Regions from separate parts of the Mus musculus genome. Here all the other regions are reported to be linked to region 3. The links are microRNA targets in miRTarBase. Many come from high-throughput screens and were not tested one by one. Region 3 holds a microRNA gene; each other region holds the end of a gene's coding sequence.
The links. Region 3 holds the annotated microRNA mmu-miR-152-3p (UCAGUGCAUGACAGAACUUGG, at 5,121-5,141, opposite strand). A microRNA usually pairs through its seed, bases 2 to 8, with sites in the 3' UTR of a target mRNA and lowers its output. Matches are read on the target gene's strand: a 7mer-m8 pairs with bases 2 to 8, a 7mer-A1 pairs with bases 2 to 7 and ends in A, and an 8mer does both.

Region 1: miRTarBase lists Ociad2 as a target of mmu-miR-152-3p. Seed matches in the 3' UTR shown: 7mer-A1 at 5,930-5,936.
Region 2: the mRNA of Scml4 is a reported target of mmu-miR-152-3p. Seed matches in the 3' UTR shown: 7mer-A1 at 4,976-4,982.

The regions. Positions count from the first base shown.
Region 1 is chr5:73,317,005-73,327,994 of GRCm38, forward strand. It overlaps Ociad2 (OCIA domain containing 2), which reads right to left. Exons shown (of 7, transcript NM_026950.4): 5 at 10,659-10,706; 6 at 9,277-9,394; 7 at 5,194-6,843. The coding sequence ends at 6,762. Among named protein-coding and RNA genes, the nearest start is that of Ociad2, 16 kb to the right of the region's middle.
Region 2 is chr10:42,954,606-42,965,595 of GRCm38, reverse strand. It overlaps Scml4 (Scm polycomb group protein like 4), which reads right to left. Exons shown (of 9, transcript NM_172938.3): 8 at 9,562-9,707; 9 at 4,814-7,977. The coding sequence ends at 7,852. Among named protein-coding and RNA genes, the nearest start is that of Gm5079, 31 kb to the left of the region's middle.
Region 3 is chr11:96,844,590-96,855,579 of GRCm38, reverse strand. Mir152 (microRNA 152) reads right to left here and starts at 5,187; the gene lies at 5,115-5,187. It overlaps Copz2 (coatomer protein complex, subunit zeta 2), which reads right to left and starts at 5,704. Exons shown (of 9, transcript NM_019877.2): 1 at 5,584-5,704; 2 at 4,839-4,907; 3 at 2,064-2,145; 4 at 1,431-1,522; 5 at 941-996; 6 at 247-324. The coding sequence starts at 5,685.

The DNA of each region.
Region 1 (10,990 bases), not on the chromosome of region 3:
GTCCTGTAAAACATTCTACCAATAAAAATTAAGCACTTACCAGGAACACCACATACTCGGATGTGGAAGTGGAAACAATGGGACTGGAGAGATGGCTCAGCTGTTGAGAGCACTTGCTACTCTTCCCAGAGGACTGGGGTTCAACTCCAGGGACCCACATGGTGGCTTATAATCATTCCAAACTCCAGTTCCTGGCATCTGACACCAAAGTCAAACATCCTGTCCTGAAGGAGTTTCTGGCCGGGTGCAGTAAGGCCTAAAAGCAGAGCCCTGCACAGGGCTCTTCTGCAAAATGGAGCTGCTGGGCTATGGACTGCATTGAAGCAAGGGGCAGCAGGTGTTCTTCCTTAGGAAGGTCACATGGAGATCCTGGAGTCTCGCCTACCAGCTGAGTGCAGAAGTGACCTCCGCATGGAATAGGGTAGTGGTACTCGGTGGTCTCAAGCCTGGGAACAGGCAGGCGTAACCACCAGAGTGTTGTTGGTTGATCTCACCATTTCACTCTCATGTCCTAGGCAGAGCCTCCGCAGAGTGCACACATTCAGTGTTTTAAGTATATGATTGAGTGCAATCCAGTGTACCGCCCAGCTGATCTCCAGGAAGGTCTTGAAACAGTTCAAAACCTTTTTGCATCAAACCCCGGGAAATTGAAGATTTGGGCTAGGATGTAGGTCAGGAGGGTGCTTTCCGGGAATACCCAGGCCCTGGGTTCAGTCCCGAGCACCACAACTGGGTATGGCGGCACACACCTGAAATCCCACCACTCCGGAGAGGAAGCAAGAGGATCAGAGTTCAAGGTCACCCTAAACATACCGTAACTTAGAGTCTAGCCTCAACCTCCCTGTGGGTGGGGTGGGGGAAAGGCTGAGAGGAAGGGGAAAATTAAAGATTGAAGTTTTTCTATGAGGGAGAAAAGCAGAGGACATTTCTGTATTTCATAGGCTCCTTGCCTCTATAATCTCCCTGATCCTGGACTCCAGACCAATTCTAAATATACAAAATTACATTTTCTGATTGAAAAACTTGGAGAAGTTGTTGCTAATTGGTAGTTAGCACTGAGTATTAAAGGCAGGACGATTGCACTTCATTAGGCCTTTGCACTTCATTAGGCCGCATTCTGTTCCTTTTGTGATGCTAAGGGAAAATGGAGAGCATCTCCTGGGCCAGCATGGAAACAGCGTCCTTGCCCACGTGCACGTGTCAAAACCGTAAGAAGCATTATATATATTCATTATGTCGTGTTATAAACATATAATGTGTATATAATGAATAGGTGTATATAAAATCCTGTTGGAAGTTATGTTTAGATGAAGGTAACAAGCATAGGGTAATTATCCTGCTTTTTATTATTATTATTATTATTAAATATTCTATGTAGAATACACTTCAATTCCAGCTTTGAACTCCAGGTTCACACAAATAAGGGAAAATATGAGAGACAAGTGTTTGCCTTAGCTAATGGAGTTGGTTATTTGACCTCATTTTTTTTCTTTTTCTCTTTCTCCTCTTTTCTTTCTCTTTCTTCCTTCCCTTCCATTCCTTCCCTCCTTCCCTTTTCATTTTCTTTTTTTCTTTTGAGACAAGGTCTCTCTTAACATAGCTCTGTGTGTCCTGGAACTCGCTATTTATACCATGCTGACTTCAAACTCACAGAGATCAATCACCCTGAATCTGCCTCGCAAGTGCTGGGGTTAACGGTACACAACTACGTGTCCTGCTCCAAAATTTAAATATCTTTCCCAGCCATCTCCTTGTGTATAACCCAAGAAATAAATATACTCCCCCCCCTGCCCCGCATAGAACAAGTCTTTATTCTTACTACTTTAAGAAGCTTAGTATTTATTCACTCTCTGACTCTGTGCCTTTGACATTGTCACAATGGTTCACTGATGCATTCAGCCCATGTATACACACACAGATATACACACACACACACACACACACACACACATACACACACACACATGCATTGTAGGTCCTGCTGAGTGCTACCTTTTAGGTAATCTCATAAGGACATTAGGTGTCCTAGAACTAACCCCTCCAAGTCTGCCTGGGTACCTGGGCACACACCACATGGGGATCGGGGCTTCCCAGCCTTCTTTGCACACAGGTAAGCAAGCCTATTATCAGGGCTTCAAGAGAGCCTAGTTTTGTTGGAGCCTATGATGGTCTATGGACACTGGACTGTCCTGGGCACCTCTAAACTTGGCCCTGAAAGATATAGATGCATTCTTAGGACATCCTCGGAGTGCTCTAGGGAGGTGTCACATGAAATCATTTCGAGTTTTCTTCCTGAGCAAGGCTCTTCCCTCCGTCATTCTCTGCTAAGAACATTTCATTATGTTCTCTAGACAAAGTCCAAATGTGTGAGATAGGCTTGTCAATTCAGATAGCAAATTTGTCTCTTCTGTAGGTGCATCCTAGGGTAAAGTAAATTAATAGCACATTTTAATTTCCACTAATTATCTTTAATACACACGTGGTCTCCAAGCTGGGATGATTCGACCTGTGTTCTATGATAAGGATAGAAATGTAAGTAAGGGTAAACCATACAATGTCTTGTTTCTCAATCCATTACAGAGTTCAGCAAATCTTACGAGATAATCAACACTATTATAAAATAGGCTTTCTGTTAGATCACTATTCAACTGTCGGCTGTGTTCTTAGTACATTCAGAGTGGACAAGGCTGCTGTTATGTAAGCTAGGTCTACTAAGTGTAGTTTTGACTCAAGATATTTTCATCATTCAGTAGCTTAACCAGGACACTGAACTGAGCAGCATCAATAATGGGTTACATCTTATGCTCTATCTTCCAGGGAAAGAAAGTCTCTGGATGAGGCTGGCTAGGGACAGCATTTACCACTTTATCTTACTCACTTTCTTGCAAGTGTATCTCTGCACATGGGACCTGCTGTTCCTTGACAAGCTTTTTGTCATCCAATCACCCCACCCCAACCCCTGTCATGAAAGTTCTTTCACAAATTTATGGCCCAATGGATGGTGAGTGCTGGTGATTGGTAAGTTTAAAAGATGGCGACACTGCCCCTAACACCGTGGCAGACTTCTCCAGGTACCTGCTTCCTAGCAGGTACTGAGGATCCACAGCAGAAGGTTTCTCCCCGTGGACTGCTTCATACACCAATGTAAATGTAGCTTTTATTTACCAAATGTAATTGTGGTCACTCACTGCTGAACAAGCTCTTCTGTTCTAGTTCTTTCTGAACTCTGGTGGCTGGTTCAACTCAGCTGTTCCAGCTCAAACTCTTCTCCAAGCTGATTCAAACGGGCTTCTCATGGAATTGCTTGGCTTGTTCTTTGTTGTTGTTTGTTTGTTTGTTTGTTTGTGAGACAGGGTTTCTCTGTGTAGCTCCACTGCTCTGCTTGTTTGTTTGTTTGGTTTTGGTTTTTCGAATCACGGTTTCTCTGTATAGTCCTGGCTGTCTTGGAACTTACTCTGTAGACCAGGCTGGCTTCGAACTCAGAAATCTGCCTGCTTCTGCCTCCCAAGTGCTGGGAGTAAAGGTGGGTGCCACCACCGCCTGGCTGCTCTGCTTGTTCTTAAACTAACTCTGGCAATATATTCTAATCTTCTGGCTCTTTGTGGCTTCAACTGCCTTTGCTAACCTGCACTGAATTGCACAAACTCAACTCCACTGCACTGCATTCAACTTCTCTCTCTCTAAGTCACCTCTTTTTCCTACCCTCATGAGAATTGGGCATATCTTTAACTCGTTCTGTAGAATCTTTCTCTGATTTGTTACTTCATCTGCCCCTCAATTAGATGTCACTTTTTAAAAAAAAGATTTATTTATTTTATGTATGTGAGTGAACTGTAGCTATCTTCAGACACGCCAGAAGAGGGCATAGGTTCCATTACAGATGGTTGTGAACCATCATGTGGTTGCTGGGAATTGAACTCAGGACCTCTGGAAGAGCAGTCAGTGCTCTTAACCACTGAGCCATCTCTCCAGCCGTAGAAGTCACTTTCAAAATGGGTACTTCTTTCTACCAACTAACTTTACTGTCATTGTTATAGAGTATGTACTAAGGATGTGTCTATATTCTAGCCAGAAGGATTGAAGGTGTGTTATTCCAGCCAGATCACATAGACCTAGATCATCTTTGGAGGCGATCCCTTCCCGGAGCAGCCAATTGCTGCATTAAAATTCCTCTACAAGACAGATCACCATTGTTAAGCATCTCAAAGAACAAATTATCCACTAAGGAAAAAGTAGACAGCCCAAACAATAAACTCAGTTTAAATGAGAAATATAAAGATGACAACAATTTTTAAGAGTTTCTATTTGATGGTGGTGACACTTCTTTTCCTGGTAGCCAGAGACTGATTGGTAACTGACTGACTGTTTCCTGAGAGGGACCTTTCTGTCATGGAGGAAGGGACTGTGTTGAATGCTAAATTGATGTCAAGAGCTGCGTAATCTTAATCACTAACTTCTATTCGTCAGAGTCAAAAGTTAAACTGTATTCGAGAAGCCAGAATAGGGTCTGGGATGTAGTTTATTGTAGAGCACTTGTCTGCAGTGTGTGTGAGGAAGATGTCTCTGCCACCACCACAGCCAGCAGAGTAACATCCACGGAAGAGAAGGTAGTTTGGTTCAACACAACTAAGTTCAGTGTTGGTTCAAACTTTGGGAGTCTGGCCTTTCATAGTTTGTCTTAGATATATTTAAGTACAGCGCAATTTGATGAAAATGTTCCTGGCGATAACTCAATCACTTGTGCACTATAAAGTGTACACAAATCTCCTTGAGGAACAAAGGAAGCCAAAGAAAGATCAGAAGTGACTATATTGAAATTCTTTGTAAACTACACGTGCATAAACATGGATTCTATAGATTAACTACATGTGACACCTTACATATAGATGGGTTCTATATATAGGCTGCAAAAAAAAAAAAAAAATAACCCCTTGATAAGGACCTGGGGGAGGATCTGGTGTGGTCTTAGCCTCATAGTGCAAAGGTCACTAGACTATTATTAACTGTGTCAGTCCCCAGCCTTCTGGGTAAATAATGGTATGTTTCCCTCCCTTTGATGGAACAACCATGTATGATTAACATTCCATGTGCTTACCTGGGAGCACGGGGACCGTTGTGCCTCCTACACTTGTCTAGCACTTACAAAGTCCTGAATTCCACTTGCAACACAACAAAAGAAGAAAAAGCCAGCGTATTGGCTCTGCCTTGTGATTTTTCAGAAATAGAATTTTATTGACTGTCAAACAGGGCATGTCATATAAAAATCAACGCAGGCAAATTCGTTCAGTGTTCACACAAAAATATTTTTGATGTTCAAAATGAAATATCTCACATCAAATGAAATTTCACCTCTAGTGAAATTTCCCTTTTTACCTCCATGCTTTAGGCTTGCAGATGTGCTGAGTAAAAGCACGTGCACACGCGCTCACACGCACACACACGCGCGCGCACACACACGCTCACACACGTGCTCACATGCACACACGTGCTCACACGCACTCACACACACACACACACACACACACAGACACTCCCCCCACATACACACACCCCACATACCCCATATTTAAATGGTGATGTGTAGACAAAGCATTTTCCTGAGAGGCTGCAAAGATGCAAGGACAGCTTTCACACAGTGCTCAGCTAACTTAAATTAAGCAAAGGGTTCTCAAAAGGGAGGACCAAACTTCCCATGACTAGACTTAGCTGGAGGAGGAATCCAACTTACACCACTGTATTGGCTGCCTCGGATCCCAGAGGTTCCCAGAGTTTCTCTTTTTTATTTTATTTTATTAGATTTATTTATTTTATGTGAGTACACTGTTGCTCTCTTCAGACACACCAGAAGAGGGCATCAGATCTCATTACAGATGGTTGTGAGCCACCATGTGGTTGTTGGGAATTGAACTCAGAACCTCTGGAAGAGCAGTCAGTGCTGAGCCATCTCTCCAGCCCCAGGGTTTCTCATTTTTTTAATTAATTCAGTCCTACAGTGTTCCTTCCAGGAAGCTGTTGTCTGGGGGACCAAGTTAAGAAGTTGTCTTTTTTTTATTTGAGGCCACTAATAATGGGTAAAAGAACCCACTGTTGAGTGCTGACCATGAGAATGGATCCATGGGCCAAGCAGGTCACCTATGGATAGATGATGGTCACTTTTATAGCTCCACCATTGTGATGAGCCACCAAGTCACATTGACCACACTGTGGGTCACCTAGGTTTGAACGGTGACAGTTTCACGGTGACACTTTCACAGGAAATGCTTTCCAGTTACAGATCTCACTCATCTCTAGACCTCAGAATGGACGTCCAATACTAAAACACAACCTTTCCTGAATTTCTAGTTCCATAGACAATGAGTTTTCTATGGGTCTTGACTTCCCAACCAACTTCCACATCACTCATTCCTGTTCTCTACCAGAAAACTTAAAATGCTGAAAATTAAAATTAAATGAGAGTGAGCGAACTGGGGGAGGTGGGGGTGGGCGAGAAGACCCAGAAGCTATTATTCAAAGATCTCCCGGGAAGCTCTAAGCAAGGCAGGGTGTAACTTCTTTCCTGTGTAGTGTGTGATAGCTCCCAAGGAAGCCAAGAATATGCCACGCTCATGTCAATCGAGAGTCTTCTACAGCAAGCATTTCAAAGGGGTGAGAGAATTACAGGTTTCTGTTTCAATAGAAGTATATTATTTTAAGGTACACTTGAAATTTTAAATGTGTACAAAGTCAGAGGTTTAAAAACGGTTGGAAACCACAGACTCAGTTTAGGAAGCAGATGGTTGTGACCCTGCCTTCTCGCTTAATCCACGCCTGGTTTTACAGTCCTCACAGGTAAGCAGGCAGTGCCTAGAAGAGAAGCAGAAACAGATGGTGACTCACACTTTGACAATTGGAACTCTTGTGTCTGTCTGCCTGTCTGTCTGTCTGCCTGTGTCTGTCTGTGTGTCTTCCATCTCCTATCTTCCTAAGTGCTCATCTTACCACAGTAAGCAATGCAGAGAAATGTCTGATTTTATAGTTCACTAGCTCACCTTTTTTTTTTTAAAGTGGGATAATAGTTTCTTAGTTTACTATTATCCAAATACCATTCAATGTTTATGTTGAAACAGATGGTTGTATTTGTGCTTGGAGTCACACAAAAGCTAAACACAGTGACTCTTTGACCTTGAATCACTGGAGTGATTCCTACCACAACAAAAAAATAAATAAATCACAAAGTATTCCAGGTGAGTGGCTCACTTCTGTAGTCTCAAAGCTCAGGACCTAGGCTGGGAAGAGGCCTATGGGGGTTTTTCGATGAGACTTTTGCCTAAAAAGTAGCAATAAGTACACACCGCCTCTTGGACTGCAACATTGATTGGAGCTTGTTATACCTTGACTTTGTTAGAAAAGCAAATGGCCGTGTATTACTGCCTCTGAGGTGAGAGGGTAGTGGCCTTTCACACAGGGCTAAGCCTTGGGTTACCTTACACCAGTGCCAGCCCCGGTGGGGCTTTTCATGCCAGAAGCGGGCGGGTGAAACAGCTATAGAATGCAAAGCTGAAACAGAAAGTATGGCTTCTGGAAAAATGTAGGTTTCATCATTGTTCCAAAACCAAGAGTCATCACAATGCCTCCTTTGCTGACACTGCCTTTCTTTATTTTCCCTACACACATCAGAATCCTGGGCCAAGTGCACCGTAAGGTGACTCCAAAACACAGCTTTGCCAGGATGGAGCCACTCTGGAGTTGTCAGTAAACACTAATGCTTCCCCGCTGGCCTTGCAACCCATAAAGGGAAAGGTCAGGGGTTGCAAACAAATCAGATGTTGAAGTCTCATCTTCCTAGGACTGCCGGTGTCTTCTCAGAGAATCTCTGGACTGTGTGTAACTCAGGGTAGAGGTGATGGTTAGAGACCACCCACGTCTACCAGACCAGGGACGGTAGCATTCTAAAGTCAGGCAACCAGGAAGACAACTTGACCTTGACATCTAGTCCCACGTTGTTTCTGCTGCTGCCCTTCAAGTAGAACATAGCGTGACTGGCTCAGTGGGTGCTTTCTGGAGTATACAAGGTCCTATTTTCAACCCCCAGCACCACATACAACAGCCTGAGGTGGTGTATACCTGTCACGGGAGCACTCAGGAGAGACAGGGAGGCAGAAATGAAGATCAAGGTCATCCTTGAGCTACAGAGCAAGTTTGGGGCCAGCCTGGGCTACACGAGGTGGTCTCTAAAATAAAAGATGCAGCCCACTGTGACAAGTGAGAGGTCTTCAGAGGACTGTGTTTCCAACTAGTTCTGTGGCAGGACAATAGAAGTAATATTTGTTTGAATGTCATCAATAATTATTTTCCTTTCTCACAACACCCCAGGGAAGTTATTCTAGTCATTTTAGACAGATGAGGAACCTAGAGACGAGAGTATAAGAAAATTGTGGTAGTACTGACTTTCAATTTCAAGTCCACAGGAGCAGGGGACTTGCTGTACACTTCAGTCCAACTATGTATGTCCCTGTAGAGACTGTTTTTATCAGGACATGTAGTGTGTGTGTGTGTGTGTGTGTTTGTATGTGTGTGTATGTGTGTGTGTTTGTGTGTGTATGTGTGTTTGTATGTGTGTGTATGTGTGTGTGTATGTGTGTTTGTATGTGTGTGTATGTGTGTGTGTTTGTGTGTGTATGCGTGTTTGTATGTGTGTTTATGTGAGTGTATGTGTGTGTGTATGTGTGTGAATGTGTGTGTATGTATGTGTGTGTGTATGTGGGTGTGTGGGTGTGTGTGTGAGAGAGAGAGAGAGAGAGTCAGAGGCAGAGAGACAGATTAAAGGCTCTGAAAAGCTCTGTAGTAAGGAAGACTGTTTAAATGTTGAGCAATTGTGCAATGCATTCCTCAGAGGTTTATACAAGGCCTAGAATGTGGTAGGTATTCATTAAATGCACATTAAGTAGCATGATTAGTAGTGATTAAGTTAAATAATAGATAATTATTGAAGTTGAATAGTAATAAATCAAAGCTTGAGGGTTAAAGAGTTTTTCCTTAAGAAATAAAATTATTTATGTGCTTCATATTATAGTGAGTAAAGTCTCACTTCACTTCTTTTTGTTTGTTTGTTTTCAAGACAAGGCTTCACTATGTAGCCCTGGCTCTCCTGGAACTCACTGTGTAGACCAGGCTGGCCTTGAACTCACAGTGATCCTCCTACTTCTCCAGTGCTGGGACTAAAGGCTTCCATCATTTAACTCAGCTACTTCACTTCTTTCATTATCTTGATTACAATCCCTCCATCGGACCACAAACCTGTTATGCTCAGGACCAAAGCCAGCACCACGGAGCTGATCTTCAAAGGAATGGAATTTACTCTGGCACACTCTTATATAGGAAGCCTTCCCAAGGCCAAATCCCAAGAGACCAGCCACTGTAAAAGCAGGTTAGGAAAAACAGACAATTTCGAAGCTCAGAATCCTGTCCGTTAACCATTGCTATGCCTTCTTAACCCTGGTCCTTTTTACATTAAACCAAGCCTCCACTAAGGGCAGGTTTCATCTCTGGAGACTTTCTGATTTCTGCTTTGAACTGACGTCAGGAGGGCCAGGACGGAGCACTCACTAAGGCTGTCCCAGACTGGGCATCCAGGACATGACCCAGCTGAAGTTGGAAGGGGAGGGAGGGCAGGTCTGGGTTGTGGCTACAGGTAGCCTCTCTGTTACTGCGTAGTGAAGCCTATTGGAGTTGTTGGTGCCCCCCACCCCCTTGCCTCTGGAGTCAATAGGGAAGGGGCCTTCTGTACAGGAAATCTTCTCTAGCTGGAAATGAGACTCAATTAATTAACTGGAGAATTCTCCTACCAAAACCCATCTATGTGTATTAAGGAGATGAAACCCTGAATTTGCAGTAAATTTCATATTAAAACATCTCTGATTTTTTTTAAATATTACTCACTTTTTAATATGCATTCCAGATAATATTTTTAAAAGATTGTCCAAGCCAAGAGAACAAACCATAACTACCCTAGTGAATCCGACACTAAAGGTTCTGTTGTCAACAGTTAACCTACAGCCGCCGGTTCCATTCTCGCCAGTTCCATAGCTGTGTTTAACCAACAGCAGGTGGAAACCAAGTATTCAAGAAAAAAACAAACAAACAAATAAGCAAAACCCATTTCAAACATGTACAGGTCGTTTATCCATCATTCCCCAAGTGTATCGTACAACAACCGCATGCATGGTGTCTGCTTTGCATCATGTCCTAATGGTAACTGGAGAGTCTTTAAAAAGAGGACACCATTAGAGGTAAGTGCCACATCACTTGTAAGAGGGACTGAAGTCCCTGGGTATCTGGGGGCTATCTATGAATTTATCTCTCATAGATCTGGAGGAAGCTATATATATCTTGCCAGTCTCTGCTCACGCTTTAAGAAAGCCAGTGGCCCAAGTCCCTGATGTTAACCAGCAGGTCAGAAAGTGTTGGGGTGAACCAGGAAGCTTTAGGTCATTGGTAAAAAAAGGAAAGTGCTTTGCAAGGATCGGTCCATACTCTTAAGCTGGACATATCCTTGGTTATATAAACTTTGTCAAAATGAATCTACTTTTTCGTTTGTTTTAATGCTGGAAATAAACTTGGGGCCTGGTACTTCAGCCATTTAGCTATGTCCCCATCCCAAATCTGTATTTATGACTTACATGCAACTTTAGGCAATGATCCAAATCTTGGATTAGCGGCTAAATAACCTGAAATGTAATATAGAAAGGTATTATTCCATTTAATAATTTATTTAACTTTGTAAGAAAAAAACCAAGGCCCACGATATAACATTTCTAAAATGAGTGTGTCATTAGTCTGAAGAATGGTTTTATGATCGATCCGTGGTTTAAGTTAACTCCCAGGAGCTGTCTTAGGCAAATGGTAAATCTTGGCTTTAACATGCGGAAACAATAGGAAACCCACAATTAAAGGCTGATTTAAATTGACTCAAAGAGACTAGTCACGGTCTTTGAAGAGGAATTTGACAGAG
Region 2 (10,990 bases), not on the chromosome of region 3:
TCCAGTCACATGATTTTACTCTTAAGGTTCCCCAGTAACTACTTACATGCGTGTGGATGGGCCAGGAGTTAGAGAAGTAGGGGAGCCCTTATTATTCTGGAACTGTTCTCCAGGGAGGAGGTGAGTGAAGATCAGAAAGGGATAGGTGGAGTTATCTTCTACCTACTTCCAGTGTGTCGGGTATTCCCCATCAGTGCGAGGATGGAGAACTCGGCCCCGAAGGAATCTGGCATTCTTTTTGAAGAGGCATCATGAGGAAAAGGATGTTGTATCAACAAGCGAATCAACAACCGTTACTGCTCAAACTCTCTTACCAAGTAAGGAAACACACAAGAGTCAGACTAACATGAGTGAAGACATGGAACTTTACAACTCAACAAGGTGCCTTGCTGGTAGGATGCATTGCTCCTTCAAAAAGCTCCAGTAGACTGTTTCCTTTCCTATTATAAATTATAGACTTATTTATTTGTTTGTTTTTAATCAAAATAAAGCATCTTCAGTTCCTGCATCACAGATACAGGGCCTCACCATCTCTGAGTGTCTTTTTCATAGTTAATGTAGCACGTGACCACCTAAGCATGAACAACTTCTCTGCTTACATGAACAGAGCATTTTGATGAGATGACAGATTTTTTTTTCATTAATCTTCTCATGGTGTTTGAAGACTATGACATGTTTGGTGTCCTTGCTGGTGAGTTGTCTTAGTCACCATTCTATTGTTGTGAAGAGACATGATGACCATGGCAATTTTTATAAAGGACAACATTTAATTGGGGCTGGCTTACAGTTTCAGAGGTTCAGTCCATTATCTTCATGGCAAGAAGCATGGTAGCATCCAGGCAGACATGGTGCTGGAGAAAGAGCTAATAGTTCTACACCCAGGTTGGCAAGCAGCAGGAAGAGGCTGAGACAGGATGCCTAGCTTTGGGTTGTTGTTGTTGTTGTTTGTTGTTGTTGTTTTGAGACAGGGTTTCTCTGTGTAGCCTTGGCTGTCCTAGAACACACTCTGTAGACCAGCCTGGGCTTGAACTCATACAGACCCTCCTGCTTCTGCCTCCTGAGTGCTGGGTTAAAGGCGTGCTATCATGCCCAGCTTTAGTTTGGGTGTTCAGCAAGGTCACATCTACTTTAACAAGGCCATACCTCCTAGTCCTTTCAAACAGTGCCACTCTCTGATGACCAAGCATTCAAATATATAAGCCTACAGGGCGGGAGGAGGGGGGCAATCTTATTCAAACAAAACCACGAGTTTTATGTCAATTTGACTCGAGCTAGAGTCATTTAGGAAGGAGGACCCTCAGCTGAGAAAATGCTTCCATAAGATTGGCCTGGAGAGGGGTCAGAGAGACGCTCAGCAGTTGAGAGTTCAGGGTGCTCTTGCAGAGCTCCTGAGCTCAACCCCAGCACCCATATGGTGGCTCACAACCATCTATAACTATAGTCCTATGGGATTTGAAGCCTTCTTCTTGTGGACAGACAAAACATCTATACACATGAACTTAATTAATTAATTAATCAATCAATCAATTAATAGCTGGGCATGGTAGCGAATGCCTTTAATCCCAGCACTCAGTAGTCAGAGGCAGGATCTCTGTGAATTCCAGACCAGCCTGGTCTACATAGTGAGTTTCAGGATAGCTAGGGCTACATAGTGAGACTCTGTCTCAACAACAATTTGGCCTGAAGGCAAGTGTGTAGTGCATCTTTTCAGTGATTGCTGTAAATTCAGTGATTGCCCATCCCATTGTAGGTGGTGCCATCCCTGGGCAGGTGGTCCTATGGCTATATGAGAAAGCAGGCTGAGTAAGCCAGCAAAAGCAAGCCAGTAAACAGCATTTCCTCTTTATTGGCTCCCGCCTCCACATTCCTGCCCAGTTTGAGTTCCCACCCTGACTTCCCTTGGTGATGAACTGTGATGTGGCAGATGAAAAGCAAAACCAATCCAAATGCTTATCTTCCCCAAGTTGCTTGCCTTTGTTAGGGTTTCACTGCTGTGAAAAGACACCGTGACCAAGGCTACTCTTATAAAAGAAAACATTTAATTGGGGTTTGGCTTACAGTTTAAGAAGTTCAATCCATTATCATCATGGCAGGAAACATGGCAGTGTGCAGGCAGACATGGTGCTGGAGGAGCCGAGAGTTCTATGTCTAGATCTGAAGGCAGCCAGGAGAGGACTATCTTTTATAGGCTAGGAGGGGGGGGGGTCTGTCTTTTCCTAACTGGGTAGAACTTGGGCATAGGACCACAAAACCCACCCCTACTCTTCCTCCAACAAAGCCACACCCACTCAAACAAGGCCACACCTCCTAATGGTGTCACGTCCAATAGGCCAAGCATATTCAACCCATAACATTGCTCTTCCATGGTGTTTATTGTAGCAATGGAAACCTAACTGCAGCCTCTGGGCACAACTCTTATATGTGTCTACTCTTCTACCACAAAGACAGGGAGCCGAGTGTTGAGATCAACTAGCCAATGTCTGTTTGTGGTGTAGATTTGGCTACTGCATGGATAAACTCTATTAAACAGACAAAAATTTCAGAATTTACTTCACCTTGAATATTTGTATCTGATTCACGGACATCTGTGACTCCCTGAGAAGTAAACTTTTTCACAACCAGAGTTGTGCAACAGAGAGATAAGCCAGCTGCTCAGGGAGGGAACTCCCTATGATGGGAAGAAGCCAAGCAGAGAGCTTCGCTAGACTGTAGGGAAGGCGGTCCAACCCTGGGTGGGGAGGCAGAGACATCACACGATTTTAGGCTGCTTCCTTTTGTGGTGAAAGTAGCCTTTGATAGTTCACGGCTGCAGGAAAATGACGCCATGTCTCATTTCATGGTTTGAAGAAGCATGTTGTTGGTTCGTTCCCGTGCCGGACCCACTGGTAGACTACTTTTCTGCCTCAGCGCCGTGGCGCGGGCCATGTGGTCAAGTAGGTGACAGAGCAAGCCTGAGTGGTTCATGGATATGTTTAGAGAGAAAGATGCTGCTGTCCCCACACTATCAAGAATCGCCATTCTGTCACTGCCAAGCCAGTTCTCCGCCCTCTTCTTCTTTGTCATCTTCCTGTTCTGCCATCCTGTGTCACAGTATCAACTCCTGGTCCCAATGGCAGCTGGCCTGGGAAACGGTGTCTTGGTAAGTGTGCCAAGAAGCCCAAGGTCTCAGGTAGGAAGTCTAGCAGGTTGGCCAGGGGCACAGCTTAGGGAAATGTACAGCTGGCTGCGTAGCACAGCGTCTCCAGACCAGTGTGTGCTCGTAAGTGCAGCACTTGGTGCAGTCTTGTGTGCTGACTGTACTGTAGCCACAGAGGAAGTTACCACAGGAAGTGTCCCAGCTGTTGCTTATTAGCATTAAAACAAAATTACACAAAGCAAATTGTTAGCAGACATGTTGCCCTAATCTTTAACTGGTGGCAGTAAATAAGAGTGATCCTCTTTCAAGTAAATACTAGATTTCCAAAAACCCAGCTTCCAATTGTCCGTGAAGGAATCCTGTGGGATGAGGCTAACTAAGCCTTGGAGGGAGAGACACAAAGGGGCTGCGGCTCCAGCATCCCTAGCTCTGCAGAGCCCAGAGTGGGCTCCCGGGCAGCTGGTGCTAACTTGGCAATATGGAAGGACGCAGGACCGTTGGTGCCTCTGGACATCTGGACATCTGCTGGATTCCCCCAGGGGCTCCCAGTCTGGACCTCTCATGGAACAGAGCAAAATCATGTGGCAACACACAAGCAGAGCAGGGACTCAGCTCTGAGTGTGTTTATGTAAAAAACAAAAGCAAAAAACCAAAACATGTCTTTATCCATGATCTAAACAGTTCGAGCCTGCCTCCACTGGGGAAAGTGGGGTAGGTTATCTTTTGAGTGCATATCCCGTTACTTATGCACTGGGATAGCTCTCCAGGTATCCTCTCTCTAGAATAGTTCTCAGGGAGAGATCAGAAGGTCCTTCAAGACTTTCTAATGATGACTGTGTTCAACAGAACATTGGGTGTTTCTAGTTTTCTTCAGAGATTCAACAAACCCTTCTAAAAGAATATACATTTAATTTTAAACCCATTTTAATTTAAAGAATTATTCTGTGGCATCATCAGGTTCTGGCTGTCATGGGCAGGGGCGGTGGGCACAAACGGTATTGTACGGTTTTCCTAAGAAGTGTATAATTTTGTTCATCTGGTTTGATTCTCAAACCCTCAGCCCAGCATCTCTTCCCAAGTTATCAATTCTGAGCACAGGTTTTGCTGAGGCGTTCTCTCTGCTCTTTTATTTCTGAAAGGGGAAAAAATTGGCAATCCTGTGGAAGAGAAATAACAGGCCCATGTCCTCCCTGGCAGACATAAGTGAAACGCTTAGGCAGTTGTTCCTGGCCGAGGCCTCTCCAGTAAGGCCTTTCCTGCGGCATCCAGGTCCTCAGGTCCTGACATTTCCACTCAGCTGATTCAGAGGAACAAGTCTAGGCACCAGGACTGTTCTGGTCATCTAGCTGTGCACAGAACAGGCCCTGCTACAATAAGAGGAAATGCCTACACGTAACAGACCATGCCGCACCAGACCATGCCGCGCCTCTGCACTACAAAGCTGGAAAGATATTTGAGAACATGCAATAGCTGCTATCCTCACAACCACTTCTTAGATTTTTCAACTCCAGTATCTGGAGATGCATAGACACACACACACAGACAGACACAAATATACACACACAGGTTTATAGACAGGCACAGAAAGACATACAGACACACACAGAGACATCCTTTTTTTTTTTTTTTATAAACATAGTGATCTGGTTTCAGAAAGTGGCGACTCTTTTTTTTTTTCCTTAAGATTTATTTATTATATTTGGGTACACTGTAGCTGTTTTCAAACACACTGTAGGCTGTTTTCAAACACACCAGAAGAGGGCATAGGATCCCATTACAGAGGGTTGTGAGTCACGGTGTGGTTGCTGGGATTTGAACTCAGGACCTTCGGAAGGGCAGTCAGTGCTCTTAACTGCTGAGTCATCTCTCCAGCCCCATAAACAGACACATACACACACAGAGGCACAGACAGACACACAGAGAGAGATACACAAATACACACACAGACTCATACACACAGGCCACATCTTTTATCTAAAATCTTCACAAAGGGAATAATGTGTTTCATAAAACATTTAAAATGCTTTAGGCAACAGAACTCTCTTGAAACCTCCCTCCCCCAAGTGTTTAACAGACAAATGTAATTGGAAATGTTTGGAACATGAGCACCCACACTCTTTAATTTGGAATTATGCAAAATGTGATCATTATCCACTCCAAGCTGAAGCAATGCTGTGCAGCTGGAAGAGCAAGCCTGTGAACTATCAGGTGTGAGTTCAAGTCCTGCTCATCTGGGCCAGGGTAACCCTTACGGTCTGACCCTGGAAGGTCTGTTTAGAGGAAGTGGCCTTGCATGTTTTACATTTGAGAAGCTATTTAGCTGCGCTGTTTGACAAGATTTTTGAGAGGGATGAAAATTAATTATACTTGCAGTATTGCAATGCTGATTTGGTCAACTAATTAGATTCTATGAAAAAACAGGCAAGAAGAATTGGTTCCGCTGGGCCTTCTGTGATGTGGCAGCCCCTCATTCCAAGACTAATGAGATTGCTTCTTGGTGTTTTGTTTTATTTTGTTTTGTTTGGCCAAACCTTAAATATCTGGAATTCTACAATTGAGCTAATTTAAGGCTTCGTGTGAAATAAGACATCATGTCTGGGGACACAGCTCCGTTCCTCCACAGACTTGAACTGGGTTCTAGCTCTCCTTCAAAAATTATTAGAGGCCTCCCCTGACTTGTTTGGCCTTGTTTTAACTTGGGGCACCAGTGAGACATGGGTAAGTTTAGGCAGGACATTTGGCAAGCTTAATACCACCACTCACTAAGGAGCCCGTGTCCCTGGAAGAGGCACCGTGAACCTCCAGGGAAGGGCAAACGTTTGTGTGAAGTGACCGGTCTAATCTCAAAGCTTTCACACAAGCAGTTCTGTATGTGGGAACTGCCTGATGCTTTCTGAGACAAGGATCTAACTTCAGAGCAGCAGCGAGCACCCAGAGTTAAAAATCTTCTTCTAGGCAGAGTCCGCTCATTGCTTTATCATCTTAAAGAGTCTCTCCAAGGTCTAATTCAAGGTCATTTCTGCCTCATGCTAGCAATAACAGACATCCGGCTCATCCACAGCCTGATCAAGTTCCATTCAGTGGGAAGCTCTGGGACAATTTTCTCCTTCTCTGTCTTACTTAAGTCCAACCACCCGTGTATATGTAACAAAGATCTTGCAGGGTCATGTCACACTCCCACAAACAGGGAACATCAAAGTGGGCCCTTATAGCACAGCATGGAGTATGTCCTGTGCTCTTTACCTAAATTCTACCTGATTGGTACAATAGGTAGATCCATCTGAGAGACCGCATTTATCTTGTTACAGTCCAGGACGTCTGGCTACACTTGCCAGCTGAGATCTTGCTCAGACTGCAGCCTGAGGGAAGGTGCCTTTCTAAAATTCATACTATTGTCAAGGGAGACCCTAGGTTATCCTTGACCCTCACCTTCCCCAGATGTGCCTTTAAGGAAAAGGCTGTGCCCATGAGTTCTCTATTCATCGAGAATAAACAAAGGGGGAGGGATTCCATAAAGAATAGGCAGTAAAGAGGTCACCCTTCTGCCTAGGAAACCCTGGCTCCACCCCCCTCTCTGGACACAGCTGCAAAGGGTAGAAAATCAATTTTTTCCCATTACTTCACAGTGAAGAGTAAAAACCTATTTGTAAATTGAATTAAACCCAATAAAAACACGTCTGCGTATTTGTTGAAGACTAGAAAAATTAGCCACAGACACACAGCTAAGAACGCAGCCATGAAACTAGAAATCAGTATGTCCTATTTCAAACTTTGTCGAGACAGTTCCCGCCCCCCGCCTTTTTTTCAAGAAATACCCATAGCTAAATGTCACCAAGATTCTTCAGCATGCCGTCATATCAGAGCCTCAGTGAGACTCTGGGAGAGAAGGGACACCAGTCTTTGTTTAGGCAGATGGCTGCTTCGGAATTTGTACCGAGTAAGTCAGTAAGTAATGGATATGAGCTGGACCCCGCCTGACAGAGCCTGATTTCTTCCCAAGTGGCAATCTGGGGTGCTCAATGTGGACTTCATTCCCTGTCCCTGTGCAAGCGAGGTCTTGCTTATAAAAACCCTACCCCGGCCACGCAGTCTGTGCATCCCGAAACCTCGTTAGCAGTCTGCCCTCTAGTGGAGCAAGGAAGGACTTCAGTAGCTAGGGCTCCAAAACATCCTTTCCCTTTTCTCTTCGAGAGCGGAAAACAAAAACAAAAACAAACAAACGGACAAAAAAACAGCAACAAAAATTCAAGTTTTCCAGATAGTGCAAGGCGAGGTGGTCATCAGAAGACAACTTCCAGGGCTGAGTCCAGGGAAACTCATGCTGATCGGTCCCAAGAACAGGGAGCAGTTGCCACCGCCACTGGGGGCGTCCCCACAGCCCCTGCAGGGACTTTGTGAGCCCCCTCCAGGGCTCTCCTTGTGTGACAGCATTCAGTTATCCACTCTGTCGCGGCACAAATAGCACCCGTAAAGAGTGACCAGCACGTCAGGAACACTGTAATAGCCTTTTTGTGATTTTTCTGACAAGTCTAGCACACGGTTGAGTGTCTGAAAGGGGCCACTAGGAATATTAGAAAAGGCAAGGATGCACACGTTCTATAAGAAGACACAGTCGTTGTGGCTGCGACGTTTAAGAGGACAGTCTACTCATGATGTTGGCCGGATGCTGGTCTGGCAGAAGTAACCTGGAGATGTGGGGCTTTGTTTCCAACTCTTTAGAATTTAGCTTGCTTTAGCTTGTCAATGTGATAGCAGAGTTTCAGTGCGGGTCCCAGCTTCAGTCCCAGGTACTTCATGATCATGTCGCTCCTCAGCAACAACAAGGCATTGCCATCAATCTCCTGGAGAGAAGGGAAAGCCAAAGGACAGTCAGAGCAGCCAAACGGTAGTTATGGCCCCGTGGGTGCCCCGCGGGTGCTCCAGGGGCACTTTAAGGACAGGTGAGTAGATTAGAGCGCGCATACTACTTGTTCTGGGAAAGCTCTTGGAAACAAAGCAAGCAACTACGAGGCCCTCGTCTTCCCAGCCCCTCCGGAAACTCAGTTGCTACCTTGCACCTTTCAGATTCCTGCCCTTGTTTGATTGAAGCAGACAGTTTCGCCTGCATTCCTACTATCTCATGTATATGTCATCTATCCAGGTAAAGACAGAGAGAGCCACAGACAGGTCAGCCTGAGGAGGACCAGGGTCGATGATCCTGGCTTTAAAGAGGGTCGTGAAGCTGAGAAAGGCAGGCAAGCAGATTGTCCCTAGAACACCTAGACACGAATTTATCCCTGCCAACGCCTGAGATCCAGGCAGGCTCCAGACCCACAGAAATAGAGATAAGAGATGTCTCTTGTCTAAAGACCCTGGATTTGTAGCAATTCGTTATACTACCAATCCAGAATTAATATCGTAAGCTGGGCAGGTAACAGTAATTCTTACCGTTTGCCCCACTTACTATCTTTGTATATTTCAAAAGCGCCTACGTGATTATAACATTGATGTGAAGGCTCTGTATATGAGTGAGGCCTCATGTAACGTATTAATGTGCATTTTCTCATTTAACCCTCTAAGCCAGTGGTTTCGAACTTGTGGGTCTCGACCCCTTTGTGGTCGATTGATCCTTTCTCAGGGGTCACCATCGGAAAACACAGATATTTACATCATGATTCATAACAGTAGCAATATTAGTTATAAAGTAGCAACAAAAATAATTTTATAATTGGGGGTTACCACAACATGAGGGACTGTATTAAGCGGTTGTAGCATTAGGAAGATTGAAAGCCACTGGTCTAAGCAGTAAGAGCACAGGATCACAGTTTGCCTGGCATATTGCAGGGTTCTATAGATGACTGTTGAATGCACAGGTGGGTGGGTGGGTGGATGGATGGATGGGTAGATGGGTGGGTGAGTAGATGGATGGACAGATGGATGATTGATGAACAGGTGGACAGATACATGGATAAGGACAGATGAGAGATGGGTGGATTGGTGGGTAAATGGATGGTTGGATGGATGGATAGATGGATGCATGCATGCATGGATGCATGGATTGGACAGATGGATGAGTTAATGAGTGGATAATGGATGGATGGATGGAGAGATGGATGGATGGACAGACTGGTAGGTGAATGGGTGGATAGATGATGCATGGGTGGGTGAATGGACAGATAGATGGATGATGGATGAATGGATTAGCAAAAAATCAGGCAAAGCCCAAGAGAGAGAACAGAAGAGAAACATATTCCTTAAAAACACAAATCTGTCAGTGGCTCTCCTCTGCCAGGCCTATGGTTGCCTCTGTCTCTCCCATCTCTGACTCACTTAAGGGCACTGCTAGAGCTTAGTCTAGAGTGACAGCGTCTGGAGGATCCCGATCTCCTCCCTCGGTCCATGCCTCTCTTTCCCTGGCCCGCCCTTCAGACCCATTACTTTCATACGTGCTTTCTGAAGAGCTCCACATGAGGTCCCAGAGCCTCGGGATCAGCATCTTTCACAAACCGGACCACGTCCTCCACGGTCCAGGTAGAAGGGTTTCTGCTGCTTGGTCGCCTGGTATCCTGCACCTCCGGAGAGGGGCTCGGGGCTGGAGGGAGTGAGCAGAGGAGGGGGACCATGAGCCAGTGAAACTCAGTGCCCGTCTGGTGCTGCCTACTGGGTCACCCCCAAGCCCTTAGCTTTCCCAGATGGAGTCCTTAGTGCTCTGAAGTCCACCGCATGTGTCCCTGAGACAGGTAGATGCTTTGAGTGGCTGGTCAGTGAGGCGCAAAGGGCAACAGCCTCTCTGTGCTCTGCTGCCCATGGAAGAAGGCTTGGGAGAGCTCTCATCCTTGACAAACTGAAATTCTGGTTCAAAATTCTAGCTAACGTTCGGTTCCGTTTCGTGTTTGTGGACCAGGGTCTGCTATAGACAGCTATTGGTGCCTGGGGCTGGTGAGCTGAGTGGTAAGCAAAATGGGCCTCTGTAGCCTGTGGGGCCAAGCAATACTGGGCCCTCCCTATGTCCTCTGGAGATGGCAATGTGGCAGAACAGAGGTGGGTCTTCACTTTTGGACTTTGCACAATGGCTAATCTTTCATTTATACCTCCAGCAGCACCAGGGTGGGGTGGGGTGGGGTGGGGTGGGGTTTGTTCATGTCTGGTCTGTCTGTACCTGCTATTAGAAGAAGAAGGTGTTACTTCACTACCTGTCCCTTGTCCTCAGCCCTTGGTTCATAGGAGTCCTTAGGGGGTTGTCTTTCCTGTTTGCCCTCCCTCCACCCCCCCCCACCCCCGCCATGCTTGCCGACTCTTTGGTAAAGGCATACCACTAATGGTATAGCTAATTTGTACTGTCAGTGTGACTAGACTTAGAATCACCCAGGAGACACACCTCAGGGATGACCCAGCCTGAATGTGGGCAGTGCCACCGCAGAGGATGGGGTCTCAGACTGGATGAGGTACTGGGGGAGAAGGTTAGTGTGCTGGCTAGTGTTATGTGAATTCAGTCAATGCTAGAATCATTCTGAAAGAAGGAACCTCAACTGAGATAATGAGCCCACCCAACTGGCCTGTGGGCAAGCCTGTGCTACATTGTCTTGACTGATGGTTGGTGTGGGAGGGCCCATCCAGCTCACTGTGGGCACTGCAACCCCCGGGCTGATAGTTGTGGGTGCTAAAAGAAAGCATTAGGCTGAAACATTAGGCTGACCTCAGGGAATCCCTCAGAAGAAGGGAAGGAAGGATTGTAGGAACCAGAGAGGTCAAGGAACAAGAACACAACTCACCCAATCAACTAAGCAGGCAGGGCTCATGGGGACTCACAGAGACTGAAGCAATAATCAGGGAGCTTGCATGGATCTGGGCTAGTTATGATATGTGTTATGGTTG
Region 3 (10,990 bases):
GCATTGGAGATCAACCTGAACTTTCCCCATACTTGACCTATTTGGCTGCACACGGTAGGTGACTCTCAGGCTACTCTCCCATTTGACTTGACTTGGACTAATAATGATTTCACCCTCTGCCCTCACGAGTAGGGAGGAATGAGGTTAGAGGCTCACTAGGAATAGGTAGAAGAAGGGAAGATGAGTTGGCCAGATAGAGTTGGACCAGGGTGCTCCCAACATCTCTTCTCCCAGTCCCCTCCTCACCCTCCATCGACAGTTTCATCCAGCACCAAGAAGGCTCCGTCCATGTTCTCCAGCAACCAGCGTTTCTCCACGTTCTTCCTGAGGGCAGACACAAGAGCCTAAGCTTTCTGGTAGCCAAGAGGAACCACGCCCCCTCTAAGGGAGGCAGCTCCTCTCCAGCATCCCTTCCGAACAAGGCCTGTTCAGGAGGATAAAAGGCAGTAGGAACAGAGAGGTGCCAGAGTAGGCTAAGGTCATCCTAGATTGGTTTGTCTAGACTATGTTCCTAGGTAGGTATCAGTAACTGGGGATTTGGGAAAAACCAACTCTGAGTTTAAAGTTAAAAATACTGTTTACAGTGGGGCATGTTGGTACACACCTGTAATTCCAGCACACAGGAGACTGTGAGGGACTGAGAGGAGGTCAGTGTGGGCCATGTGTAACAAGACCTTCCTCTCCCTGTGTTGGGGACTTTTGTTGACACGAATACTTGTAACCTCAGCTAAGTCAGTGTCTTGAGATTTGATATCTGATCATACCCTGGGCATGGGTCTGCCTGGGGGCATCATGGGTGTCAGGGGCCTTGAAGGAAGTTATTCTGGTTCTAAGACTTGCAGGGGTTCCAGCAGGACAGCAGGGCAAAACAGCCTCTCCTCTGAGACAAAGGGAAAGGCCCCGGGGGCTGGGGCCCTGGGGTTCGGAGGGTCTCACTTACCTTAAGATGTGGCTCAGAGAGTCAAACAGGCAGGCAAGCACAGACATGAGCATCAGCTGAGGAGGAGAGAGTGGGAGGACGATAAGAAGAGAGCTGAGGCTGAGAGGTCCAAAGTGGGCCTCTGAGCTCCCTGTGTGGGCCAGACGGGAAGCATTCCCTAAGTCAGAGAGGGCTTGGCTGGAGGCTAATGACTCTTTGATTTGAGAGGGGGAAACTAGTGTTTGGGCTGCGGGACACTGGAGTGATCCCTTGGGTGTCTCCTTCTCAAAATACGCTCAGCAAGAAGCAACAGCTCCCTACAGAAGGTGTGAAGATTTCATTTCTGGGTCCCAAGGGACCTAAGGAACATTACGGATGTGTATGATTACAGAGAGACCCGTTCTGGATGTCCTTCTACCCCCAGACCTATTGCTAGTACCAACAGTGAGCCTTCATAACCCACCTCCAGCCCAGGACAGACCCTTCTTGTCACCCAATCTCTGAAATTCACCTCATTCTCGGAGGAAGATCCCACCACATACAGGAAGATGTCAATGCTGCTCTTGTAGACGATAGTCATGCCCCCCAAAAATGCAATTTCACCTGGAAGGGGGAAGGCTCTCAGATCAGCACACGCCAACCCCAACCTGGGGCTAGCCTGGTCTCTGCTTCCCCAGGCCTCTTCCTTTGTTTTCTACTTCCTTTCTCAAGGACCTCTGGCCAGACTACCATTACCAGGAGGCTGCTCATCCTTGTGGTATGTCTTGAGAAGAGACCTCCTGTTGAAGAGTCAACAAACCCAGCCTAAGGCTGACCTCCCCCTGCCCCACCCCTCCACCCTCCATCCATGCAATGCCCTGGGACCAGATCCAAGTGTGTGTAGGGGGCACACAGTCGGCCTCCTCAGCTGAGAGGAGGGGTGCGGATGAACAGGATGGGGAGCGAAGGTTTCCGGGATGATTGAAAGAAGGGAGCGAAACGCAGCTGGGGAAGAGAGACAAAGAGCCTCCGAGGAGAAGGCAATGGCTTGTGGGTGTGGAAGGCCAACAAGAACAGATGTGGACAGACGTGTCCGGATGGAGAAGATGACAGACACTGGTGGTCAGTCATCTGAGAGCTTCCGTGGAGGATGGGTGGGCCTTACTTTCGGTGCGGCTGGTCTTGTTGAAGACATTTTTCTCGAAAACCATCTGCTCCTTCACGGAGGGAAATGTGTCGTCATAATACTATGAGAAAGAGAAGACAATAGCCATTGCATGGAGCTAGCTCCTGCCTCAGGAGAGGGCTTAGCAGGGAGCATCAGGGGCCAGGCTGCACCTCCTTGTCACCTCCCTCCCAGCACTATCTTCTCCTTGGTCCCCATAAACAAATTCCAAGGGAAGAGAAATGAAAGTAGAGAAATGGGCTGGAGAGATGGCTCAGTGGTTAAGAGCACTGACTGCTCTTCCAGAGATCTTGAGTTCAATTTCCAGCAACCACATGGTGACTCACAACCATCTGTCATGGAATCCGATGCCCTCTTCTGGTGTGTCTGAAGATAGCTATAGTGTATTCATATGCATAAAATCAATAAATAAATCTCTTTTTTTTGTTTTTTGTTTTTGTTTTTGTTTTTCGAGACAGGGTTTCTCTGTATAGCCCTGGCTGTGCTGGAACTCACTTTGTAGACCAGGCTGACCTCAAACTCAGAAATTCGCCCGCCTCTGCCTCCCAAGTGCTGGGATTAAAGGCGTGCCTCACCACTGCTTCATCTGCAATTTAATATATAACAAGGATAGGACCTTCTAGAAGGAGGCCCCAGAAACTTTGGCAGGGCCAATCCACCTCTGCCCATTGGCTGAAGCAAGGTGTGGTCAGCTCAAATTTCTGCATGTGAACTTTGCATCCCACAGTCAATTCTGCAGGCAAGTTAGTAGTCTCTCTGCTGTCTCCTACAATGGTGAACAAACTCATTTGAATGCTAAAGAAGACCGAAAAGGCTTTAACATATTTAATAACTAATTTAGATGTTATAGCTGGGGGTGGTGTCACATGCCTGCAATCCCAGCACTTGGGAGGAAGAAGCAGGAAGATCAGGGGTTCTAGGCCAACCTTGACTACACGAGACCCCGTCTCAAAAAGAAAAAAACCGAATAGTATGGCTCACAAATGCAATCTCAGCACTTGGGAGGCTGAGGTAGGATCACTGTGTGACTTCCAGGCTAACCTGGGCTACACAGTAAGTTCCAGGCCAACAAAGTAACCCCCTGTTTCAAAAACACAAAACAGGCAAACAAAATTAATCTGGTTGTGGGCTGGTTGTGGTGGCATCTGTCAACACCAGCACTCAGGAAGCAGAGGCAGGCTACTCTCTGAGTTCCAGGTCGACAGACTGAGTTCCAGGATGGCCAAGGTGACACAGAGAAACCCTGTCTCAAAAACCACACACACACACATACACACACACACCCCAAACAAACAAACAAACAAACAAACAAAAAACTAGGGGATGGTGTTCCACACTTGCCAGTGATTTCAGCACTCAAGAGGCAGAAGCAGGAAAAACAGGACCTGGTCCACAACAAAACAAAACACAACACAAATCAAAACTTAAGTAGTACTAAATTTCTGTTACAGTTAATTACATTGATGGCAGGAATTTTGTTTATTTATTTATTTATTTTTTAAAAAGATTTATTTATTATTATACATAAGTGCACTGTAGCTGATTTCAGATGCAACAGAAGAGGACATCAGATCTCATTAGTGGTAGTTGTGAGCCACCATGTGTTTTTTGGGATTTGAACTCAGGACCTTTGGAAGAGCAGTCAGTGCTCTTACCAGCTGAGCCATCTCGCCAGCCCTTGTTTGTTTATTTATTTATTTATTTATTTACTATTGAGTTTTTGCATTTGTTTTTGAAACAGGTCTTATTATGTATCCCAGGCTGGCCTCAAACTCACAGAGATTCACCTGCCTCTGTCTCCCGAATGCTGGAATTCAAAGCAAGCACCATTGCCTGGCCTTCAAGGTAGCAGAATTTTAGGGCATTTTTCTTCCTTTCTATAGTCTTTTCTTTTTCTTTTTTTTAACATTTATTTATTTATTTATTTATTTATTTATTTATTTATTTAGTGTGTGTGTGTTTTGTAGAGGGACAAGAATAGAGGTCAGAGGACAACCTGAGGAATTTGCTCCTCTTTCAACTATGTGAACTCAGGACCCAACTCAAGCTGTCAGGCTGCTTGGCAGCCTTACCCACTGAGCCATCTGATCTACCCTGAAACTTAGCTTTAAATGTAGTTTTAGCTCATCTCACCCAGGCCATGTAGAATGGATACCGGATAACTGAATGGGAGTTCGAGGAAAACTACCTGAGCCTCACATCTAAATCCTGAGTCCTGGTGGCAATCGTGAGACTAACCCTGTGACCTTAGGCAACTTACTTAGCGTCACTAGACTTCATTGTCTACATCTGTGAAGTGAAAGAGGGAGACTAGATGGTCTCCCCAATCGCACCTGATTCTACTACATTATTATGCTAAGTCCTTCGTGTTTACCTAGCTGAAATACACATAGGCGACTTTGTCTACTCGGATTAGGAACTCAGATCCCTAGGACGCAGGCTCAACTATCCACTGATCCCTTTGGTGGAGCGTCCCACGCCAAGGATGCAGCTGGCCAGGACAAGGACAAGGAGAAGACTCGCCAGGGAACATGAGAAAGAAACCGAAGGGATCCCCACTCACGCACCCAGCCCCTCGCTGTTAGACTGATAAAGCATAGTGTGGACAAAGTGACCTCTAGAGAATCTAAGCTGGGCTGTTCTGCCACCCAAAATGCAGAGTTTCTCCTATAGGTGGAGTTAAAAGGGCTGGGTGGGGACCGCTTGTCTTGGACATATGGCACTGTCTTCGAGGTTCCAGCGGGGAGGGGTTACCTTGGCCAGCAGCCTTCGCCCGTCATTATCTAAGATGAAGACAGCCTTGATGGTGTAGAGAGAAGGTTCCTGAAAGTGACAAGGGAAAGGAACCCCTGACTCAAAGTGGACACCGAGTCAGGGCTCTATGGAGCCAGCTAATCCCCAACCCATAGCTGGTTCCAGCCCAACCCCGTGCCACATGGACCATTTCCGGTGCCCACTCCACTCCCAGACAGATGTTTCACTGCAGGTCCGAGGAGTGGGCGCTGAGTCCGCTGGGTGCAGAAGGTCCTACCGGGCCCAAGTTCTGTCATGCACTGACTGCTCCAGAGCCCGAGTCGGAGTGTATCACAGAACCTAGGCCCGGGGAACAGCGGCGACGAGCCTCCTTATGTCCAGCTGACCCCCAGTTCCAGATGCGCGCGGCCATCATTCTGGAGCAAGGGAACCCAACCAGACCACCTCGCCACTCCCACTCCTCCCTCGTCCCGCCAGAATCTCGCTTCCATCCCGGCCACCCAAGTCGGTTATAACTGCGGCGAGTTCCCCAGAACTTCAGCCCCTCCTGCGACACTCCACTCAGGCAAGGCCTCCTCGCCCGTGCGCTCCAGGACAAACTTTTTCTCCCCTTCCTGGGCCCGGGCTCCCTCTCCGGGGCTGGGCAGTGGTGGCACAAAGTTCCCAGCTTAGAAGCCCGAGGTAAATCAGTTGCCCCCGACCACCGATCCTGCTGCCCCTGGACCCCACACTCCGTGCTCCCTACCCGCTGTTCCGTGGCTCGGGTGGGCGGCGCTGCGCCCCCGGCTTGGGCGGCTGAGGCCCCCTCCCCCGGGTGCGGACGTGGCCAGGCCTCCGGCCGCTGCATTCCGCTCGCTGCCTGCACTGACAGCGCCGCCCCGCCCCGTGCCCGCCCCCCGCGACGCCGCCCCTCCGCCCAGTCCTGCGTGGCTGGCCTCTGTGTGCGTCCTCTCTCTCTGGGCGAGCTTTCTGCCCGACCCCCACGTCGTTGCAGAACCTCGTCTCCCTACTTGGATTCTTCCCTCTGGGCTCCTCTGTGCACCTCCCAGTCTTTCAGGTGAACCAGAGCCTACTCTTTTCTTCCCACTTACTGCCTCTTCTGGCCTAGGGCGCCTGTGGCTTTGGTGCACAGAGGTCTCCATGTGGCTGTTCTGGGACAGCCCAAATTTCAGTTTAGGTTCACTTTGTCCTCAGGACCTCCTAGTAGGTATCATTGGAACAAATAGTTCAAGTCACTTTTTTAAAAAAGAACTCTCTCTCTCTCTCTCTTTTTTTTTTTTTTTTGGTTTTTCGAGTCAAGGTTTCTCTATACAGCCCTGGCTGTCCTGGAACTCACTTTGTAGACCAAGCTGGCCTCGAACTCAGAAATCCGCCTCCCTCTGCCTCCCGAGTGCTGAAGAACTCTCTTTTTTTTAATTTTTGAGATTTTTTTTTTTTTTTTAATGTGAGTACACTGTCGCTGTCTTCAGACACACCAGAAGAGGGCATCAGATCCCATTATAGATAGTTGTGAGCCACCATGTGGTTGCTGGGAATAGAATTCAGGACCTCTGGAAGAGCAGCCAGGGCTCTTAACCACTGAGCCATCTCTCCAGCTCCTCAAGTCACCTTTTTGATCTCAAGACAGAGCCTGTCAGTGAGACCTCTCCACTCGGAAGAGTTCCCCGCTTCCCCTCATAGTACCTGGGGAAAAGAACCATGGGCTGAAGGACACCTCCGCCAGACATTTTTCAAGACCCAGAGGTGGATGAAGCCAGTAGGGTCACAACACACCTGAAGTCCAGCTTGAGCCTGTGGACTAACCCGGCCAGAGTATGACCACATACAGTGAGGTAGTTACTGGTGCTTGGGCAGCCAGCCATTCACAACACTGACAGATGTGTCTTATACTCGAGCCAGCGCTCTCATTGTATGTCAGAAGTCACCGTGCCTAGGGAGGTGTTTTCAGACATACCCATTGAGAGGAGTCAGACTTCGTGTGACCTTTTCAAGCTGGTTGGGCTAATTAGTTGGGTAGGAGGGTTCCACGGGTTTTCCCATTCTGCCCTTGACAGCCTCAGTGTAGAACATCACAGTCGCTCACACCAGACTTCCTTCTGCTTAAGACTTCTCTTTCCAACTTTCACCTTTTTTTGTTTTTTAACAATTACTCTTACTGATCCTTTTGTTTACGCTTTTATTTTACTTAGTAATTATTGATGAGGGGAGGGTGTGACACAGGGCTCACGTGGCGATCAGAGGACAGCTTAAAGGAGTCACTTCTCTCCATCTACCGTCTAGGTCCTGTGAGTTGGATTTACATTGTCTGGCTTGATGGCAAGTGCGTTTATCTACCGAGTGATCTTAGTGGCTTGAAAGTTTCATCTTGAATATCCTCACCAAGGGGACTGGAGAGACAGCTCCATAGTCAAGACTGTTCGCTGTTCTTGCAGGAGACCTAAGTTCAGTTCCCACACCTACCTGTAACTCCGGTTCCAGGGGGATCTGACACCCTCTTCTAGCTTCCCTGGGCATTCCACAGATGTGGTGCACATATGGAGAAGCTAGCACACACAAAAGCAAGCAAGAAAACAAACAAAAAAAAACAAACTTTGCTGGGTATGGTGGTGCATGCCTTTAATCCCAGCATTTAGGAGGCAGAAACAGGTGTACCTCTGTGAGTTTTAAGCCAACTTGGTCTACACAGCAAGTTCTAGGCTAGCTAGGGCTGCATAGGGAGAGCCTGTTTCAATAAATAATAATAATAATAATAATAATAATAATAATAATAATAATAATCTGGGTGTGGTGTGGTATAGGTATACACCTTTAGTCCCAGCACTTGGGAGGCAGAGGCAGGCAGTTCAAGGCCAGCCTGGTCTATAGATTTTCAGTGATGATATAATAATAATAATATAATAACTCATCGAAAGGCTGCTCTGCTGGTTACTCTTTCTCACTTGCTGGCTCTCACCACTGCAGTCTGTTGCCACACTTTCTTTCTGGCCTGAGTTTAATCCCCAGAATGGACATGGTAGGAGGAAGAACTAATTAGTCTTCTGACTAAAATATATAAATTATTTTAATTTTATGTGCATTGGTGTTTTGTCTGCATGTATATCAATGTGAGAGTGTCAGAAGAGTGCCACAAGAGTTACAGTCAGATGTGTGTTGGGGTTAGTCTTGTATGCTGTGTGTTCAGAAGCTGAGTTCTGCACCCCTATCCAGACTGTAACCTGATCTCAGGGCACTGTATTAACCTATGTGCTATAAAGAATGTTCCCCAATAGTCCCTGATTGGTCAATAAACGGCTGGAGCTTATGACTGGTCAGAAAGGAAAGGAAGGCGGGACTTAGGATTGAGTGAGGGTCTCCAGAGAGAACATGAGAAGGGAACAGAGAAGGGGGAGAGAGGAGGAGGTAGCCATGAGAACAGGATGGACCAGGAACATGTATGTGGCCAAGAGAAATTCTCCCCGAGGACACACATGGGGCAGAGCTAGCTAAGAGAGACTCAAACAGCAAGGAACGCAGAGCTGATGGCTGGGATGTAGGTAGAATAGCTCAGAACCTGCCCAGCAGAGGGCAAACAGCTTGTGGCTTTTACTCAGGAACTATGTGGGATAGAGTGGAGCGCAAGCCATCCCATACAATAACTGTAATAGGTGTGAGCAGCCATGTGGGTGCTGGGTCACTGCTCTTAACCACTAAGCTGTCTCTCCAGCCCCAAAGCTTCTTTTCTTTTCTTTTCCTTTTGTTTGTTTGTTTTTCAAATTGGGATTTCTCTGTGTAGCCCTTGTTCTCCTGGAACTTGGCCTCAAATTTAGAGAAATCCTCCTGCCTCGGCATCCTGAGTACTGGGTGAGAGGTTATTTCTCGGCCAGTGAAGTGAGTCAATTCAAACCAGATTAGAATATATTAAAGGCAGGTTTATTGGGAAGTTGCTCTCAAGCCAGTTCACTGGCCTGAGGCCAGGGACATTGGGGGAGGCAAAGAAAGGGTGTATGCTGCAGAGAGAGAGAGAGAGAGAAAGAGAGAGAGAGAGAGAGAGAGAGAGAGAGAAGAGAAGAGAAGAGAAGAGAAGAGAAGAGAAGAGAAGAGAAGAGAAGAGAAGAGGAGAGCAAGCGCAAAATGTCTGGCTTATATAGGGAGGAGCCTCTCAGGGAAGGGCAGGCCAACCTCTGGGCTGGAAAGTACTGGGTTGGATGCAGGGAATGCCAGGTAGGGACTGAGGGATGCTGGGAGAACCTGCTTTTTTTTTTTTTTTTAAAGATTTATTTATTTATTTATTTATTTATTTATTTATTTATTTATTATGTATACACTAGCTTTCTTCAGACACTCCAGAAGAGGGCATCAGATTTTTGATACGGATGGTTGTGAGCCACCATGTGGTTCCTGGGATTTGAACTCGGGACCTTTGGAAGAACAGTCGGTGCTCTTAACCGCTGAGCCATCTCACCAGACCCCCCCTTTTTTTTTTAAGATTTATTTATTTTGTGTATGTGAGTACACTGTAGCTGTTCAGATGGTTGTGAGTCATAGTGTGGTTGTTGGGGATTACATTTTTAGGACCTCTGTTCACTCCAGTTGGCCCTGCTCGCTCTGTCCCAAAGATTTATTTATTATTAGACATAAGTACACTGTAGCTGACTTCAGACACACCAGAAGAGGGTGTCCGATCTCATTATGGGTGGTTGTGAGCCACCATGTGGTTGCTGGGATTTGAACTCAGGACCTTCAGAAGAGCAGTCAGTGCTCTTACCCACTGAGCCATCTCACCAGCCTGAAAACCTGCTTTGGTATGTAAGATATGTGCCTCAGTCCCTACCTGGGTCTAAGAGCAAGCACGAGGATTAAAGACATGCCTTAGGCATGCACACACAAATGCACATACACATACACAATAAACAAATGTTTCAACAATAATCCAACTAAACAAACACGTAAGACTTGAACTCGGGACAGAAAAAAGTAACAGTGAGCTAGCAAGACACCCTAGTACCCTTTCTGTGAAAGTGTGACCACGTCTTCCTCGCAGACGATTAGTCAACATATATATGCTGCATCATGTGCATGGTGGGGACCCAGTCTTTGGGCACTTTGTCTGGATTCTAAATCATGAGAATCATGGTGGTCATGCGGGATGGATATATTATACAATGTGGAGAGCTTTTGGGGCCGCTTGGCAGGAATCTGACATTGGGCTAGGACAAGGAAGTGGGCTTCAGGCAGAAATTTGACCTTGGGCCATGACAAGGAAGCTCGCTCAGGCAGGAATCTGATTTTAGGCTAGAACGGGGAAGTAGGCTTCCGGCAAGAGTATGACTTTAGACTAGGACAAGGAAGTAGGCTCGGATATCTTGGTCATCCTAATAAGCCCTTAGAAACGGTGATCACAGGATGTTGTTTATTGCTTTGCTTGTTCCTTGACTATTTGTGTTTATTGTACTGCTTGGCCTGATTACTTGCATGTAATTAAAATGGTATAAAAGCAGGTTGGAAAAATAAATAAATAAACCCGCCACAGCCTCGGAACTGGCTGGGGTCATGCTACGTCGTTGTCTAATTGTCTTTTGTCTTTTTAGTCCTCACTCCTATTGACTGAGCTGGCTAGGTCAATACAATTGATTTGGCTTTTCCTCAGGCTGCAGGGATACTGTGGATATGCTGGCTGAGCGTGTTTACCGAGAGCATCCCAGGATGCCTTCAAAACAAGAAGAGGGTTTGGCTGGGAGAAACAGACAAGAACAAGCCTCCTCCTTCATACTACAAGAACATAAATCAGTGCAGGCTTCCAGATAGTCAAAGAATCCATGGAGGGCACCTATATAGAAAAGAAACGCCCCAATCATGGTAATATCTGCACCAGGTGCGGGGGGCCACCCAGTGTGGTGACCAAGCTGAGGAGGAGAAGGAGGAGGACCATGGTTACCCACAGGGACTCTCTCTGTTACTTCTCTACTATAGTTGCTTTGAGACACACTACAAGAGCATGTCTGCACACCCATCCCCTGCTTCAGGGGCCTGCAGATAGGTAACACAATCCCAGTGGCCAAGAGCAGGCCCCTGAGCGAGCCTGCAGTTCCCTGTGTTCAAGGTCCAAGGCTGCCAGGACCCAGAAGCAGTTCCAGAAGTTTGGAGAGAATGCCATCTGACTCCCCAAACACAGA